Linked DNA regions of Saccharomyces cerevisiae S288C. The gene in region 1 interacts genetically with each later gene. Each region holds a gene or a part of one and is shown in the gene's direction. Other genes may lie near its edges. The genes, in order: APT2, HAM1, TGL4 and AMD1.

Evidence for each region.
Region 2: of APT2 (region 1) and HAM1, changing one suppresses a phenotype caused by changing the other (phenotypic suppression), as found in Saccharomyces cerevisiae (one study listed by BioGRID).
Region 3: mutations in APT2 (region 1) and TGL4 together harm fitness more than expected from each alone (negative genetic interaction), as found in Saccharomyces cerevisiae (2 studies listed by BioGRID).
Region 4: of APT2 (region 1) and AMD1, extra expression of one rescues a mutant of the other (dosage rescue), as found in Saccharomyces cerevisiae (one study listed by BioGRID).

Annotation. Positions count from the first base shown.
Region 1 is NC_001136.10:1,343,953-1,346,943, reverse strand, and holds APT2 (adenine phosphoribosyltransferase APT2), read left to right. Parts: upstream 1-1,881; coding exon 1,882-2,427; downstream 2,428-2,991. Other genes in the region: SSN2 (Ssn2p), read left to right, coding at 1-1,268; histone methyltransferase DOT1, read right to left, coding at 2,703-2,991. UniProt on the Saccharomyces cerevisiae protein: Catalyzes a salvage reaction resulting in the formation of AMP, that is energically less costly than de novo synthesis. May lack catalytic activity.
Region 2 is NC_001142.9:568,297-571,239, reverse strand, and holds HAM1 (nucleoside triphosphate pyrophosphohydrolase HAM1), read left to right. Parts: upstream 1-1,840; coding exon 1,841-2,434; downstream 2,435-2,943. Other genes in the region: GTPase NPA3, read left to right, coding at 1-273; LIA1 (deoxyhypusine monooxygenase), read left to right, coding at 642-1,619; RFC2 (replication factor C subunit 2), read right to left, coding at 2,536-2,943. UniProt on the Saccharomyces cerevisiae protein: Pyrophosphatase that hydrolyzes the non-canonical purine nucleotides inosine triphosphate (ITP), deoxyinosine triphosphate (dITP) as well as 2'-deoxy-N-6-hydroxylaminopurine triphosphate (dHAPTP) and 5-bromodeoxyuridine 5'-triphosphate (BrdUTP) to their respective monophosphate derivatives.
Region 3 is NC_001143.9:605,131-610,212, reverse strand, and holds TGL4 (triacylglycerol lipase), read left to right. Parts: upstream 1-1,847; coding exon 1,848-4,580; downstream 4,581-5,082. Other genes in the region: PXL1 (Pxl1p), read right to left, coding at 1-1,267; TVP38 (Tvp38p), read left to right, coding at 4,795-5,082. UniProt on the Saccharomyces cerevisiae protein: Lipid particle-localized triacylglycerol (TAG) lipase. The lipid droplet/particle is a lipid storage compartment which serves as a depot of energy and building blocks for membrane lipid biosynthesis.
Region 4 is NC_001145.3:205,902-210,728, reverse strand, and holds AMD1 (AMP deaminase), read left to right. Parts: upstream 1-1,868; coding exon 1,869-4,301; downstream 4,302-4,827. Other genes in the region: SRC1 (Src1p), read right to left, coding at 1-1,204; CGI121 (Cgi121p), read right to left, coding at 4,436-4,525, 4,632-4,827. UniProt on the Saccharomyces cerevisiae protein: AMP deaminase plays a critical role in energy metabolism.

The DNA of each region.
Region 1 (2,991 bases):
CATTTGATAAAAACAAGTTACTGTTGTTAGCTGCGCAGATTGTTTCATACTGTTCTAATAATAAGAACTCCATCAAAAACGTGCCACCAATATTAATAATTTTACCCTTGGATAATGCAACTCTGACTGAATTAGTAGACAAGGCGAATATTTTTCAGGTGATCAAGAACGAAGTTTGTGCCAAGATGCCTAACATTGAACTATATTTGAAAGTTATTCCTATGGATTTCATTAGAAACGTACTGGTGACAGTGGATCAGTACGTCAACGTAGCAATTTCTATATATAACATGCTGCCGCCAAAATCTGTAAAGTTCACCCACATTGCGCATACGCTGCCGGAGAAAGTGAATTTCAGAACCATGCAGCAACAGCAAATGCAACAGCAACAGCAACAGCAACAGCAGCAGCAGAATAACAGTACAGGATCATCTTCTATAATATATTATGACTCGTACATCCACCTGGCATACTCGCGTAGTGTAGATAAAGAGTGGGTTTTTGCAGCTCTTTCAGATAGCTATGGACAAGGCAGCATGACGAAAACGTGGTACGTCGGGAATTCCAGAGGAAAATTTGACGACGCATGTAATCAAATATGGAATATCGCCCTAAATTTAGCGTCTAAAAAATTCGGAAAAATATGTCTAATTTTAACTAGATTGAATGGCATACTGCCGGATGATGAATTGATGAATTGGAGGAGACTTTCTGGTAGGAATATACATCTTGCTGTGGTGTGTGTGGATGACAACTCTAAAATCTCCTTCATAGATGAGGACAAATTGTACCCTAGTTTCAAGCCGATCTACAAAGACACTAGGTTTGGAGGACGCATGGATATGACCAGATTATACGACTATGAAATAAGGGATATAGACCAGGACATCCATGGAATAGTATTTCAGCACCCGTTCCCACTGGCACACTCACAGCATCGCTGTGCTATTAGGAGTGGTGCTTTGATCAAATTCAAAAAATGCGACGGTGATACGGTTTGGGACAAATTCGCAGTCAACCTTTTAAACTGTCCACATTCTGATAGTACACAATTGCTGGAAACCATCTTAGAAGAGTTTCGCAACCTGGCTGCTCTAAACGTGTGGTACGGTCTCTCTGATGGCGAAGATGGCCATATTCCATGGCATATCCTAGCCGTGAAAAAAATGATGAACACTCTTGTGCACACCAGAGTAAAAATTGCTAATACTTCCGCCGCTACTGTGCATACCGCTACTTCTTCATCAATTATTCTCTCGGATAAATAAACTTTTTCCGGCAACGTTTTCCTGCTCATCTGTAGCCCTATTTACCAGTTTTGGTTTTAGTATTATTCCGGGGTGTAAACCCAGAAGTCTATTTCTCCAGTCGGATTTATAAAAACAAAACCGGAAGCGGGGCGGTACGGCATTTTCACTGGTGATGCACGCCCAGCGTGTAGTCCGAGACAATTTCCACAGAACGCGAATGAGATTGCGTTTAAGGCTGTATTTTCAAGGCACACGAAGCGGCCACGTGGGTCTGCGATGGTGTGTTGATGATGTCAAGAATGGTATCATACTCCGTATAAGGTTATGTAATCGGAAGTCGCGATTCTTTTTCAATTTTTTCTTTTTATTTTTTTCCAGTTTTTTCGTCTCTGCGATGGAAAATTGTTGAAGTTCTCTTGATTAGCAAGTAGTTCTTACATCGCAGGAATCTTATGTTGCATAGCTCAATTTACAAAAATAACAAGGATAAATATATATATATACGCATATACTTTTTGGGTGTTAAAGTAAATTTTGCACCCGTTCATACCAATCGTTCAGATAATTTTCGCTCCTTAAAAAAAGAGAGTGCGTGTGTATATGCCTGTTCATTGCCTGTCCGCCTCTCATTATGTCTATTTCTGAATCTTACGCAAAGGAAATAAAAACTGCATTTAGGCAGTTCACTGACTTTCCCATAGAGGGTGAGCAATTTGAGGATTTTTTACCTATTATTGGCAACCCCACGCTATTCCAAAAGTTGGTACACACGTTCAAGACGCATTTAGAAGAAAAGTTCGGCAAAGAAAAGATCGACTTTATTGCAGGTATAGAAGCTAGAGGCCTTCTATTTGGGCCATCCCTAGCACTGGCATTGGGAGTTGGATTTGTTCCAATAAGGAGAGTTGGAAAATTGCCGGGTGAGTGTGCTTCTATAACATTCACAAAATTAGACCATGAAGAAATTTTTGAAATGCAGGTTGAAGCCATTCCCTTTGATTCCAACGTGGTTGTCGTGGATGATGTTCTCGCCACCGGTGGAACGGCATATGCTGCGGGCGACCTTATCAGACAAGTGGGTGCTCATATTCTGGAATATGACTTTGTGCTAGTGTTAGATAGTCTACATGGTGAGGAGAAATTATCTGCTCCTATTTTTTCCATATTGCACTCCTGATTTAAATTTGTTCTCTGCCTCCTCCTTCAATTATTTTCCTTTCCTTCGCATATTGCTACTTTTTAGCTTGAACTTCTTTTGTTAATATAAACTGGTACTTTACTTTTTAGGTACCTGGTCCACGGCGCCTTATCCTTCTTTTAATTCATATTATTACCTACTCTTATTCTCTCCCTTTCTATTTTTTTATTTTTTGATTTTTATAAGTTACACTTGTGTACATGTTATTTCTACTTAGTTATTCATACTCATCGTTAAAAGCCGTTCAAAGTGCCTCATCTGGTATACTTCACCGGCGTACCTCTGTTCCTCCTACCTCTTGCAGCAGGGCTGAATAAACTTTCGTCCACATCCTCCATCACTGTTGATATATAATACTCTCCGCCACTATGCGTCCATGAAACACTATCCTCCTTAAGATCATACCTTTGCACCTTTAATCTATTGAAGATGTTCTCAACATTGTAGAAGTTGATCTGATAAGTGAGGCTTCTTAAACTTTTCAAACTTATGATCTTACATCCAACTTTTGCCGTTTGTAGTATCTTTTCGACTTTTTTATTC
Region 2 (2,943 bases), on another chromosome or scaffold:
AACGAGAAGAGCAGCGCTGCAGCCAGCGACAACGACAGCATAGATGCCATTAGCGACCTCGAAGAGGATGCCAATGATGGTCTTGTGGATAGGGATGAGGACGAAGGCGTTGAGAGAGAATACACGTTCCCAGGCGAAGAAAGAACAAAAGGTGAGGTCAACGAGAACTCTGCTCCAGACCTACAAAGGAGATATCAGGAAGCTATGCAACAAGTAGGGAAAACGGCCAGTAGCGAGACTGCAGAAAATATCGCGAAGTATATTAGAAACTAAATAACTACGTATAGTCCTTTGGTTCGGCGATCATTCGACCCGCAGAGAAAAAAAAAGACAATGGAATTGCAAAGACGAACGTCAGATAAACTCCCACGTTTATTATCTTTTGAACAATAGAGGTAATCCTTCCACAGAAATCCCTGTAGAATGCAGTGAGAAACAAGAAAAAAAAAAAATTTTTTTTTTTTCTCTATCCTGCGTGGGAGGAAAGAAAATTTTTCTCGATGAGCTGAAAAGTTTTTATCATATAAATTACATAAGGCAAATCCAGTGAATACACGTGTATATTTGACGGTAGCTCTAGGTTTAGGTTAGGATAAACTGTAGTCCTTCTAACATACCACGCAAGAAAGAAAAAAAAAAACATGTCTACTAACTTTGAAAAACATTTCCAAGAAAACGTCGATGAATGCACTCTAGAGCAACTAAGGGACATCTTAGTCAACAAGTCCGGCAAAACAGTTTTGGCCAACAGATTTAGAGCTCTGTTCAACTTAAAGACTGTTGCTGAAGAATTTGCCACTAAGCCAGAGGAAGCCAAAAAGGCCATCGAATACATTGCCGAATCCTTCGTCAATGACAAGTCTGAGTTGTTGAAGCACGAAGTGGCCTACGTGTTGGGTCAAACCAAGAACTTGGACGCTGCTCCAACTTTAAGACACGTTATGTTAGATCAAAATCAAGAACCAATGGTGAGACACGAAGCCGCTGAGGCTTTGGGTGCCCTAGGTGACAAGGATTCGTTGGATGACCTAAATAAGGCTGCTAAGGAGGATCCACACGTTGCTGTGAGAGAAACCTGTGAACTGGCCATTAACAGAATCAACTGGACCCATGGAGGTGCCAAGGATAAGGAAAACTTGCAACAATCCCTATACTCGAGTATTGACCCAGCCCCACCTCTACCATTAGAAAAGGATGCTACCATCCCAGAACTACAGGCCTTATTGAATGATCCTAAGCAACCTTTGTTCCAAAGATACAGAGCCATGTTCAGACTGAGAGATATCGGTACTGATGAAGCAATCCTGGCCTTGGCCACTGGTTTCAGTGCAGAATCCTCCCTTTTCAAGCATGAAATCGCCTACGTCTTCGGTCAAATAGGTAGTCCGGCTGCTGTCCCAAGTTTGATTGAAGTTTTGGGCAGAAAGGAAGAAGCTCCAATGGTTAGGCATGAAGCTGCTGAAGCCTTGGGTGCCATTGCTTCTCCAGAAGTTGTCGACGTCTTGAAATCTTACCTCAACGATGAAGTCGATGTCGTCAGAGAATCTTGTATCGTTGCGCTAGATATGTATGATTACGAAAACAGCAACGAACTAGAATATGCTCCAACTGCTAATTAGAAGAATCAGCATCATCAATAATGATAGTAACAATAATCATTGTATAATCTTGTATTTTATACTTTTCAAAACCCGCCATTTCCGTTATATATACAAATGTATCAAATAGCAAAAAAATTATTTATTTTCGAAACCGTTCTCTCGAGCTTCAGCTTTCAACACTGGTCTTCAAAGCATAGGAAACACTCACATAGAGATATCTAAAAACGAACGATAGCAGAATGAGCAACAACGAAATTGTATTTGTCACTGGCAATGCCAACAAGTTAAAGGAAGTGCAGTCGATTTTGACTCAAGAGGTCGACAACAACAACAAAACCATCCACTTAATCAATGAGGCCTTAGACCTGGAAGAATTGCAGGACACGGATCTGAATGCCATTGCGTTAGCTAAGGGAAAGCAAGCTGTTGCGGCCTTGGGTAAGGGTAAGCCAGTGTTTGTGGAAGACACTGCGTTGAGATTTGACGAATTTAACGGTCTACCAGGTGCTTATATAAAATGGTTTTTAAAGAGCATGGGATTGGAAAAAATTGTGAAAATGTTGGAACCCTTTGAAAATAAAAACGCTGAAGCAGTTACCACCATTTGTTTTGCTGATTCTCGGGGTGAATATCACTTCTTTCAAGGTATTACAAGAGGCAAGATCGTTCCAAGCCGGGGACCCACTACATTCGGCTGGGATTCAATTTTTGAACCTTTTGATAGTCATGGACTGACTTACGCAGAGATGAGCAAAGACGCAAAGAATGCTATTTCTCATCGTGGTAAAGCCTTCGCTCAGTTTAAAGAGTACTTGTATCAAAATGACTTTTAGGTGATGTGCTGAGAAGATAAGAGGAATTATGGATAGATTTTTTTTTTTTTATTCTTACTTTATGTCGCCTCTATATTCAATTATATAAAGATGCCTGTATATTAGAGTTGGGATATTTTAACCAATAAGTTTAATAATTGGATGTGCTCGTTCGTTCCGTTGTTTAATCTGGAATCCGTAGTAAACAGCAACCAAGATATTTGATTTTTGAAGTTCGTATCAAAGTTATCGTTGGTGATGTAATATTCATGTAGTTGGTTAACTACTGACGCAGCAGACCAACCGCTTTTCATAAACGTATTGACGTATTTCTTAATCTCATCAAAATCACCACTTTTGACTTTTTCAACAATTTCTATTAGAATGTCATGAGGTACCACACCAGCTAATTCTTCCACTTGGGTAGAAGTTATGTTTTTACCATCACCCAAGTATTGCGCCCCCTTGGAAGCGGATTGTAATAATGTAATGCCTCTTCTCAAGTCACCTGCCGAAATGTCCAAGATCCT
Region 3 (5,082 bases), on another chromosome or scaffold:
GTATATCCATGCTGGGATACCCAGATAAATATGCGCTTGACTTTTTGAATCTAGAAGCCTTTCTGTCCACTGCGTTGAGGCAATTGCCGTTCATATCGAGCTTTGCATTTCTAGATAGGGAAACATCGTCTAATTGAGCAATCAATTGTTCGACTTGGAGGTTCGTAGCAGTGTATGGTGTTTCCACGTTTTCTGAAGAAGTTATTGAAAGACGTTTCTCATTTAACCCATCAAGACTTAAATCTTCAACTTTTGTTGACGATGATGACACACCAGGTGATTTCTGTTCCTTTGAAGATTCCAGGCCAGAAAAGTTATCATCAGGATATATTTTAGAGTCTAGTGCGTTCATGGTTAAAGATGGTGTATTACTTTCCCTCGTAACATTAATTTCCGGAATTTTAGGTTCTGTATTCTTTTCCTCTTGTTTTGCTTCTGGAAAATCATCTTGAAGTGGTTCATTTTCAAGATTCATCTGTAGTTTAGGATCTGGTTCAAAATTTAGGCTTTCAATATCATTCTCATCCTCCTGCTGTCCTTCACTTTCATATTCGATTGAACTTTCCTCTTTTTGCTGTTCTTTTCCGAGTTTTTGGTCGAGCACACCTCTGTTATCGGTTTGGTTCATAGAATTTACAACGCTTGCAGTGTCATTTTGAGTCAGCATCATGAAACTTCTTTCAATAGGGCTCAAATCTTGTTCCCTTTCAGTATTACCAGCATCTTCTTGTTCGAAGTTGAAGGGGAAGTTATCTGCGGCTTGGAATTCCTTGTTAGCAGGTGATTTACATGTATGCCTAGAGGCAGCATATTGTTCCGCCTGACGGTCTAAGTCGCGTTCAAAACGGAAGGGATCCTCTTGCGAAGCACGCTCGCTGGGCCTGGAAATAGAACGAGATATGTCACTGGGTCTCGAAGACGTAAAATTGCTATTCTTTGGAGGAGTTACACTCCGCCTCTCGCTATTCTCCAATACGGGAGGCGGATAAATGTCAGACTCGCCCTTTACAGATGAATAAGCACTCTTTGAAGACGCCGTATACGCACTCTTCATCGTGACCGGAACAGATGGGGCGGCAGATACATTTCTTTGACGGGTTATTGGCGGCGACTTCACGGAAGCTTGTAAACTTCCAGTGGAAGCATTCCTCTGACTACTGAACGGATTACGCGGCTTAGTGTCAAACCCTGCTCTTTCTAGAGCAGTTTTGTAGCGGACCTTCGGATTTATTTTAGGGAAGGGGGACCCGTAGATTGAGTTATACATTGACTTGAGCGTTTCTTTTGCTAAATTTATTCTTGTTTTTCCCCTTACGTTATTCACTATAAGCTTTGAAGAAGCTTGAAAAAAATTCGGCTATAATATCCTATTCTAGCTGTATAAATTAAATATTCAACACAGCAGAAATATATTTTAAGGCTACCTCTTAAATTTGCAACACTCCAGCTTTTCTATTATTATTATTTACTTATTTTTTCATGTTTCCTATTATTCATGGAATTGAAAAAGGACGCGAATTGAAAATTTCGAAAGAAATAGGGCTAGGCGCTTCAAAAAGTCATTAGGTTTACTTACCAATATTAGTAGGTTAAATATTAGAAAAAAGGAAAAAAGATCTTAAGGGGTTTAAAAAAAGTAGGGTAAACTAGGGCTGACATATTACCCCTCTTATACGATAATTGCGACTATGAAACGCTAAACCACAATTATAAAGTATGGTTGATTCAAATTGTCATTATGTCATTATTGTACTCGTAAAAGAGGCCTGTATTCAAGTATTTGATCAAAAAAATTAGCGCTGTAATAATTATTGAAGGGAGTACAGGTATATGTAATAAAAGTCTGAATGAGCAGCAAAATATCAGATCTTACATCTACACAAAATAAGCCCCTCCTTGTTACGCAACAACTAATCGAAAAATATTACGAACAGATCCTGGGCACTTCCCAGAACATAATTCCTATTTTAAATCCGAAGAACAAGTTTATTAGGCCCAGTAAGGATAATTCAGATGTTGAAAGGGTGGAGGAGGATGCTGGTAAAAGACTGCAAACTGGCAAGAACAAAACTACGAACAAAGTAAATTTCAACCTGGATACTGGAAACGAGGATAAACTTGACGATGACCAAGAGACAGTAACAGAAAATGAAAATAATGATATCGAGATGGTTGAGACAGACGAAGGCGAAGATGAAAGGCAAGGGTCATCTTTAGCCAGTAAATGCAAATCATTTCTTTACAACGTTTTTGTGGGAAACTATGAAAGAGACATTCTTATTGACAAAGTCTGTTCACAAAAGCAACATGCGATGTCATTTGAAGAATGGTGTTCTGCGGGCGCCAGATTGGATGACCTCACTGGGAAAACAGAATGGAAGCAGAAATTGGAAAGTCCCTTGTATGATTACAAGCTAATAAAAGATTTAACATCTAGAATGCGTGAGGAGCGCTTGAATAGGAATTACGCTCAATTGTTGTACATCATTAGGACGAATTGGGTACGAAACCTGGGAAATATGGGGAATGTAAACCTATATAGGCACTCCCATGTAGGCACCAAATATTTAATTGACGAGTATATGATGGAGTCTAGGTTAGCGCTAGAATCTTTAATGGAGTCTGATCTTGATGATAGTTACCTTTTGGGTATACTGCAACAAACGAGAAGAAATATTGGTCGTACCGCTTTAGTTCTCAGTGGGGGTGGAACTTTTGGTCTTTTCCACATCGGTGTCCTTGGTACTCTATTTGAATTGGATTTATTACCCAGAGTGATTAGTGGTAGCAGTGCTGGTGCAATTGTAGCAAGCATATTATCTGTCCATCACAAAGAAGAAATTCCGGTTTTACTAAATCATATTTTGGATAAAGAATTCAACATTTTCAAAGACGATAAACAGAAAAGTGAAAGCGAGAATTTGTTAATAAAAATATCTAGGTTCTTCAAAAACGGTACGTGGTTTGATAACAAGCATCTGGTAAATACAATGATAGAATTTTTGGGAGATTTGACATTTAGGGAAGCTTACAATAGAACGGGTAAAATTTTGAATATAACCGTTTCGCCGGCATCTTTATTTGAACAACCGCGCTTGCTGAATAATTTGACTGCACCAAACGTCCTGATTTGGTCCGCCGTATGTGCATCATGTTCACTACCGGGAATTTTCCCCTCGAGCCCACTTTACGAAAAAGATCCAAAAACGGGAGAAAGGAAACCATGGACTGGTAGTAGTTCGGTCAAATTTGTCGATGGTTCTGTGGACAATGACTTGCCCATTTCTCGTCTTTCTGAAATGTTTAATGTAGACCATATTATCGCATGCCAGGTGAATATTCACGTATTTCCCTTTTTGAAACTATCACTATCCTGTGTTGGCGGGGAAATTGAGGACGAATTTAGTGCAAGATTAAAGCAAAACTTATCAAGTATATACAATTTTATGGCCAATGAAGCTATTCATATTCTAGAAATTGGAAGTGAGATGGGAATTGCCAAAAACGCGCTTACAAAACTGAGATCGGTATTATCTCAACAATATTCTGGTGACATCACTATTTTGCCCGACATGTGTATGCTTTTTAGAATAAAGGAGCTGTTGTCAAACCCAACAAAAGAATTTTTATTAAGGGAAATCACCAATGGTGCAAAAGCTACGTGGCCCAAGGTTTCCATTATTCAAAATCACTGTGGCCAGGAATTTGCTCTGGATAAGGCGATTTCTTATATCAAAGGTAGGATGATTGTCACCTCCTCTTTAAAAACCCCCTTCCAATTTGCTGATTCAGTCATTGGATTAATTAAAGCTCCAGAGCAAACGTCAGATGAGTCCAAAAACCCAGAAAATTCAACATTGCTAACTAGGACTCCAACCAAGGGTGACAATCATATTTCCAATGTTTTAGATGACAACTTATTAGAATCAGAATCGACAAACTCTTTGCTATTGTTACGTGAGAATGCAAGCACATATGGGCGGTCACCTTCCGGGTTTAGACCGCGGTATTCCATTACGTCCGCTTCTCTCAATCCGCGTCACCAAAGAAGGAAATCAGATACTATTTCAACTTCAAGGCGACCAGCCAAATCCTTTTCATTTTCAGTTGCTTCTCCCACATCAAGGATGTTGAGGCAATCCAGCAAAATCAATGGACACCCACCGCCAATTCTGCAGAAAAAAACAAGTATGGGCCGGCTAATGTTTCCTATGGATGCCAAGACCTATGACCCGGAAAGCCATGAACTTATCCCACATTCTGCCAGCATTGAAACACCTGCCATGGTAGACAAGAAATTGCATTTTGGCCGAAAGAGTAGATACTTGAGGCATATGAACAAAAAATGGGTCAGCAGTAGCAACATATTATACACAGATTCGGATAAAGAAGACCATCCTACATTGAGACTGATAAGTAACTTCGATTCAGACGCAATGATTCATAGTGATTTAGCGGGCAATTTCAGGCGTCATAGCATTGATGGAAGACCCCCTTCTCAAGCTACAAAGAGCTCACCGTTTCGATCGAGGCCTTCTTCTTCAACGCAGCACAAAAGCACCACCAGTTTTACTCAATAAGAAAACACGGGCTTGCTTATATATCCTCTAGATATTCTTTTTCATCTATGTATTTATTCGAATGGCCTTTCTCATTCATATCATTTTCAAAGCGGAAATCGAAATCATTGTTTTCTCTCGAGCTGCACTAAGAAAAAAAGCCACTTTACTAAAACAATACCTTCAACATATTTGAAAATATTATTATGGTGGAAGAAAGATATTGGTTACACAAATGAGTCAGTCTTACGAAGCAGGAAATGCCAATATGGGCCAAGGGGAGGATGATGAATTTGATGGCTATTTCGAAGACTTTGACAACGATATCATGCCAAATAGTAATAATGGACAAAGGGTTGGTACTAATGCTGGATTGTCATTCAATGACGAAGTAAATGTTAATGATGATGATTTTTTAGACATTTATAATATGTCCCCTAGAGAGAGATTGATGCATAATATCAGGAAGAATGTTCAAAAATTACAGTTTTATTTTTATTCACTACGCTTATGGCAACAGATT
Region 4 (4,827 bases), on another chromosome or scaffold:
CTTTCTCTGTGGGTAATTGGGGAGTCTCGATCCTTGTAGGCACTAAAACTTCATCTTCATCCGATACCAAGTTACTACTATCTGTATCTATCATTTCGACCACATTATTGCTGGTATTACCCATAGGCTGATGAGGACCTGGCGTGGTGATCTCTGGAAGCAAGGGTGCTTCCGACTCTGAGCCAGAGCCTTCGGACGAAAACAAAGACGGTGTTCTTTCACTCTGAGAAGGTTCTTGCTGTTCCACTTCTGGAACCAGTATTGTAGATGGTACCTCCTTTTGAGGCAATTTATCCGCAAATGAGGCAGAAACTTTTAACTTACTCAAGGGTGTGCTATGGCCTGTTCCATTGGCAGTTCCGAGCTCTTTTGGATTGTGTCGTATGTTCGGTACAAATGGATCATTTTCCGTACCGCTTGAAGTCAACGAATCGTTAAAATTATCCATGCTTACTGGCTTTCTATTTGTGTTCTTTATTGGTGTTTTGACGGAAAGTTTTCCTAAAATGGCAGAGCCATTTCCATGCTCTTGGTTCAAATCACTCGTCTTACGCTTTTTTGCCTTCTGGTAATCCTGTTCAATTTCTGAATCTGATGATAGGAGGTTCAAATGCTTATTATCGATTTTATTTTCCTTTGAATTAGATTCAGACCAGTCGTCAGAATCAGGGTCTTTCCTTTTCTTACGAGTATCGGAATTTTGCTGGAAATCATTGGTGTCTGATTTGTTGGAGCTTGATGTTATCACATCATCCTCTTCATCGTCCACTTCATCGGTATCCGTTCCACTAGGTACAATTAAAGGATCGTCTTTTTTATCATTGTCATCATCATCATCATCATCATCATCATCATCATTACTTACATCATCCAGTATTCTATTCTTCTTAAACTGTTTGGCCATGGGGGAAGCAGATTTCTCCCTGCGAGCTCGTCTACTTCTACGAGGGGAAGCTATAGATGGGGAAGATGAGGGACGGTCCATTTTCACAATACCTTCATCGCTGGGCCGAACGTTCAGATACATTTTCCGTAACTGCGGGATCTGCGGTTTAACCTTTTCATCGAACAGCCCCACCAGCGCATTTTTCCTAGCATTAGATGGGAAATCGACATTATTTTCTACCAATATCCTCCTCAAAGTCGCAACTTTCATTGAATTCGGATCAAAACCGTCCTCTAAATACTCCAAGTCACTATTCATCGCGGCACTAACTGAGTACTGCTACCGTTCTACTGTTTGTTGTTCTGGCCTCTACGTTCACTCCGTATGGTCTCAGTCTACTATTAATAATGACTGAGGACTATTTCTCTTCCATGTATTCCGCATAGTATATTGACAGCTATACAAGTAGATCGATGTCCAGATTAGCCACCACAAATTGAAACCAAAACAAAAACAAAGGGGGCTTCCTAAAACAGTAATTTTGAGGGCTCTTTAAAACCCTTGATTTCCGTTCAGGGTGATCAATATATATATCCTAGTTATTTTATAGATGCCCTAACTTTATTTTTAGGGCACGTGGGGGTCTTCTCTTTTCTTTTTTCATTCCTTTTTCATCTTTTTTTTGCGCCTGGCGATGATGAGAAAGGAGTTCTAGTAGCACAAGGTTTAAAGGATATTATCAAAAAATAGATAAATTTTAAAAAAAAAAAAAAGGCATCTCTTGACGACTTTTCTTCTCTCTCTCTACAGGCAGAATTAGCAGCGTTTCTCGTATACTAGTCAATTATCGGATATTAATAGTATTTTTATTATAGTCTCCCTGCTATAGCCAATTTTGATTCAGCAAAACTCGATTGAACTGCTAGTACGCCAGATTAATAAATTATATAACAAATAAAAAGGGGGCATTCTAAAAAAAATTATGGACAATCAGGCTACACAGAGGCTTAACGACCTTTCTCTAGAACCAGCTCCTTCACACGATGAACAAGATGGTTCAGGACTAGTCATTGACATAGATCAAAGAAAGATTGGTGATGAACAAGCTGGTGTCGTAGTGGATGATGAGACACCCCCCTTAGAGCAGCAAGATTCACACGAAAGTTTAGCTGCTGATTCTCGGAATGCTAATTTCTCGTATCACGAGAATCAGCAGTTGTTGGAAAATGGCACCAAACAGTTGGCCCTAGATGAGCATGATTCTCACTCTGCCATCTTGGAGCAACCATCGCATTCTACCAATTGTAGCTCTTCCAACATAGCAGCGATGAATAAGGGCCATGACTCGGCAGACCATGCATCTCAAAATTCCGGGGGTAAACCGAGGACCTTGTCTGCTAGTGCTCAGCATATCTTGCCAGAGACGCTCAAGTCATTTGCCGGCGCTCCGGTAGTGAATAAGCAGGTACGTACCTCTGCCTCCTATAAAATGGGAATGTTGGCTGATGATGCTTCACAGCAGTTTCTTGATGATCCCTCTTCCGAGTTGATTGACTTGTATTCCAAAGTGGCAGAGTGTAGAAATTTGAGAGCCAAATATCAGACCATATCTGTGCAAAACGATGATCAAAACCCAAAAAATAAGCCAGGCTGGGTAGTCTATCCACCACCACCTAAACCTTCATACAACTCAGACACTAAGACTGTTGTGCCAGTAACAAACAAGCCGGATGCGGAAGTTTTCGATTTTACGAAATGTGAAATTCCTGGTGAGGATCCAGATTGGGAATTTACCCTCAACGATGACGACTCGTACGTGGTACACAGATCAGGTAAGACGGATGAGTTAATTGCTCAAATCCCTACCCTTCGTGACTACTATCTGGATCTAGAAAAAATGATTTCCATCTCATCAGACGGTCCCGCTAAATCATTTGCTTATAGAAGGCTGCAATACCTAGAAGCACGCTGGAATCTTTACTATCTCTTGAACGAATATCAAGAAACTAGCGTTTCCAAAAGAAACCCACACAGGGATTTTTATAATGTTAGGAAAGTGGACACTCACGTTCACCATTCTGCTTGTATGAACCAAAAGCACTTATTACGTTTCATTAAACACAAATTGAGACATTCCAAAGATGAAAAGGTTATTTTCAGGGACGGGAAACTACTAACTTTAGACGAAGTATTCCGTTCTTTGCATTTGACTGGATATGATTTATCCATCGATACTTTAGATATGCATGCACATAAGGATACATTCCACAGATTCGATAAATTCAACTTAAAATATAACCCTATCGGTGAATCTCGTCTCAGAGAAATTTTTTTGAAGACAAACAACTACATCAAGGGTACCTACTTGGCTGACATTACCAAACAAGTCATATTCGATTTAGAGAATTCAAAATACCAAAACTGTGAGTATAGAATTTCTGTTTATGGCAGGTCTCTCGATGAATGGGATAAACTAGCTAGCTGGGTGATTGACAACAAAGTTATTTCCCATAATGTTCGTTGGTTAGTCCAAATTCCGAGGTTATATGATATTTACAAGAAAACTGGCATTGTTCAAAGCTTCCAGGACATCTGTAAGAATCTGTTTCAGCCACTATTTGAAGTGACCAAAAATCCTCAGTCTCATCCAAAATTGCATGTATTTTTACAGAGAGTAATTGGGTTTGATTCTGTCGATGATGAATCCAAGGTTGATCGCCGCTTTCATAGGAAATATCCCAAGCCATCACTCTGGGAGGCTCCTCAAAACCCTCCTTATTCCTATTACCTGTACTATTTGTATTCAAATGTCGCGTCTTTGAATCAATGGAGGGCTAAGAGAGGGTTTAACACTTTGGTTTTGAGACCACATTGTGGTGAAGCCGGTGACCCCGAGCATCTCGTTTCAGCATATCTATTGGCACATGGTATATCACATGGTATTTTATTGAGGAAAGTTCCATTTGTTCAATACTTATACTATTTAGATCAGGTTGGTATCGCAATGTCACCCCTTTCTAATAACGCATTATTTTTGACCTATGATAAAAACCCATTTCCGAGATACTTTAAAAGAGGTTTGAATGTCTCACTATCCACAGATGATCCTTTACAATTCTCATATACCAGAGAACCATTAATCGAAGAATACTCAGTTGCAGCACAAATTTATAAATTGTCTAATGTAGATATGTGTGAATTGGCAAGAAATTCCGTGTTGCAAAGTGGGTGGGAAGCACAAATCAAAAAACATTGGATAGGGAAAGATTTTGACAAGAGTGGTGTTGAAGGTAACGATGTGGTTAGAACAAATGTTCCTGATATTAGAATTAACTACAGATACGATACATTATCAACTGAACTGGAATTAGTTAATCATTTTGCCAATTTCAAGAGAACCATTGAAGAAAAGTGATGGTTATACGCGCACATGTATATAAGGAGAACTTTTGGCAGTTCGATACACTGACTTCACGGAGAACAAATAATACTAATCTGAAAAATAATCAAAGAATTTTTTTTATAATTTTATCGTTAGATATCTCTTATCTACACACCCCTCAATTGAATAGCGTCTACCAAAGCTCTTGAGAGACCATTTACGTCTTGGGGCTTGAAATCATCACTTAATTTATAGATCTAATAGGTAAAAACAAAATAAAAGGAAAACAAAGGTGAAGTTAGTACAATGTGTTTCTGGTGAGGCTGTTGAAGTTTTTACCTCGAATTTATTATTAAAACATACTTTTCTTATGAGCGCTTCGTCATAAAATCTCGATAAATTGTCATCATTAAACTCGATCTCTTGTCCTTTTACTATAGAAGTCATAATCGTCCTCAATTGCTCTTTGTCTACATCGTCAGTATTAGTATGGAACTTAAGGCATATTAACTGTGACGAATCGTCTTTGATTCCGAATTTGAGGAAAGCATCACTAATA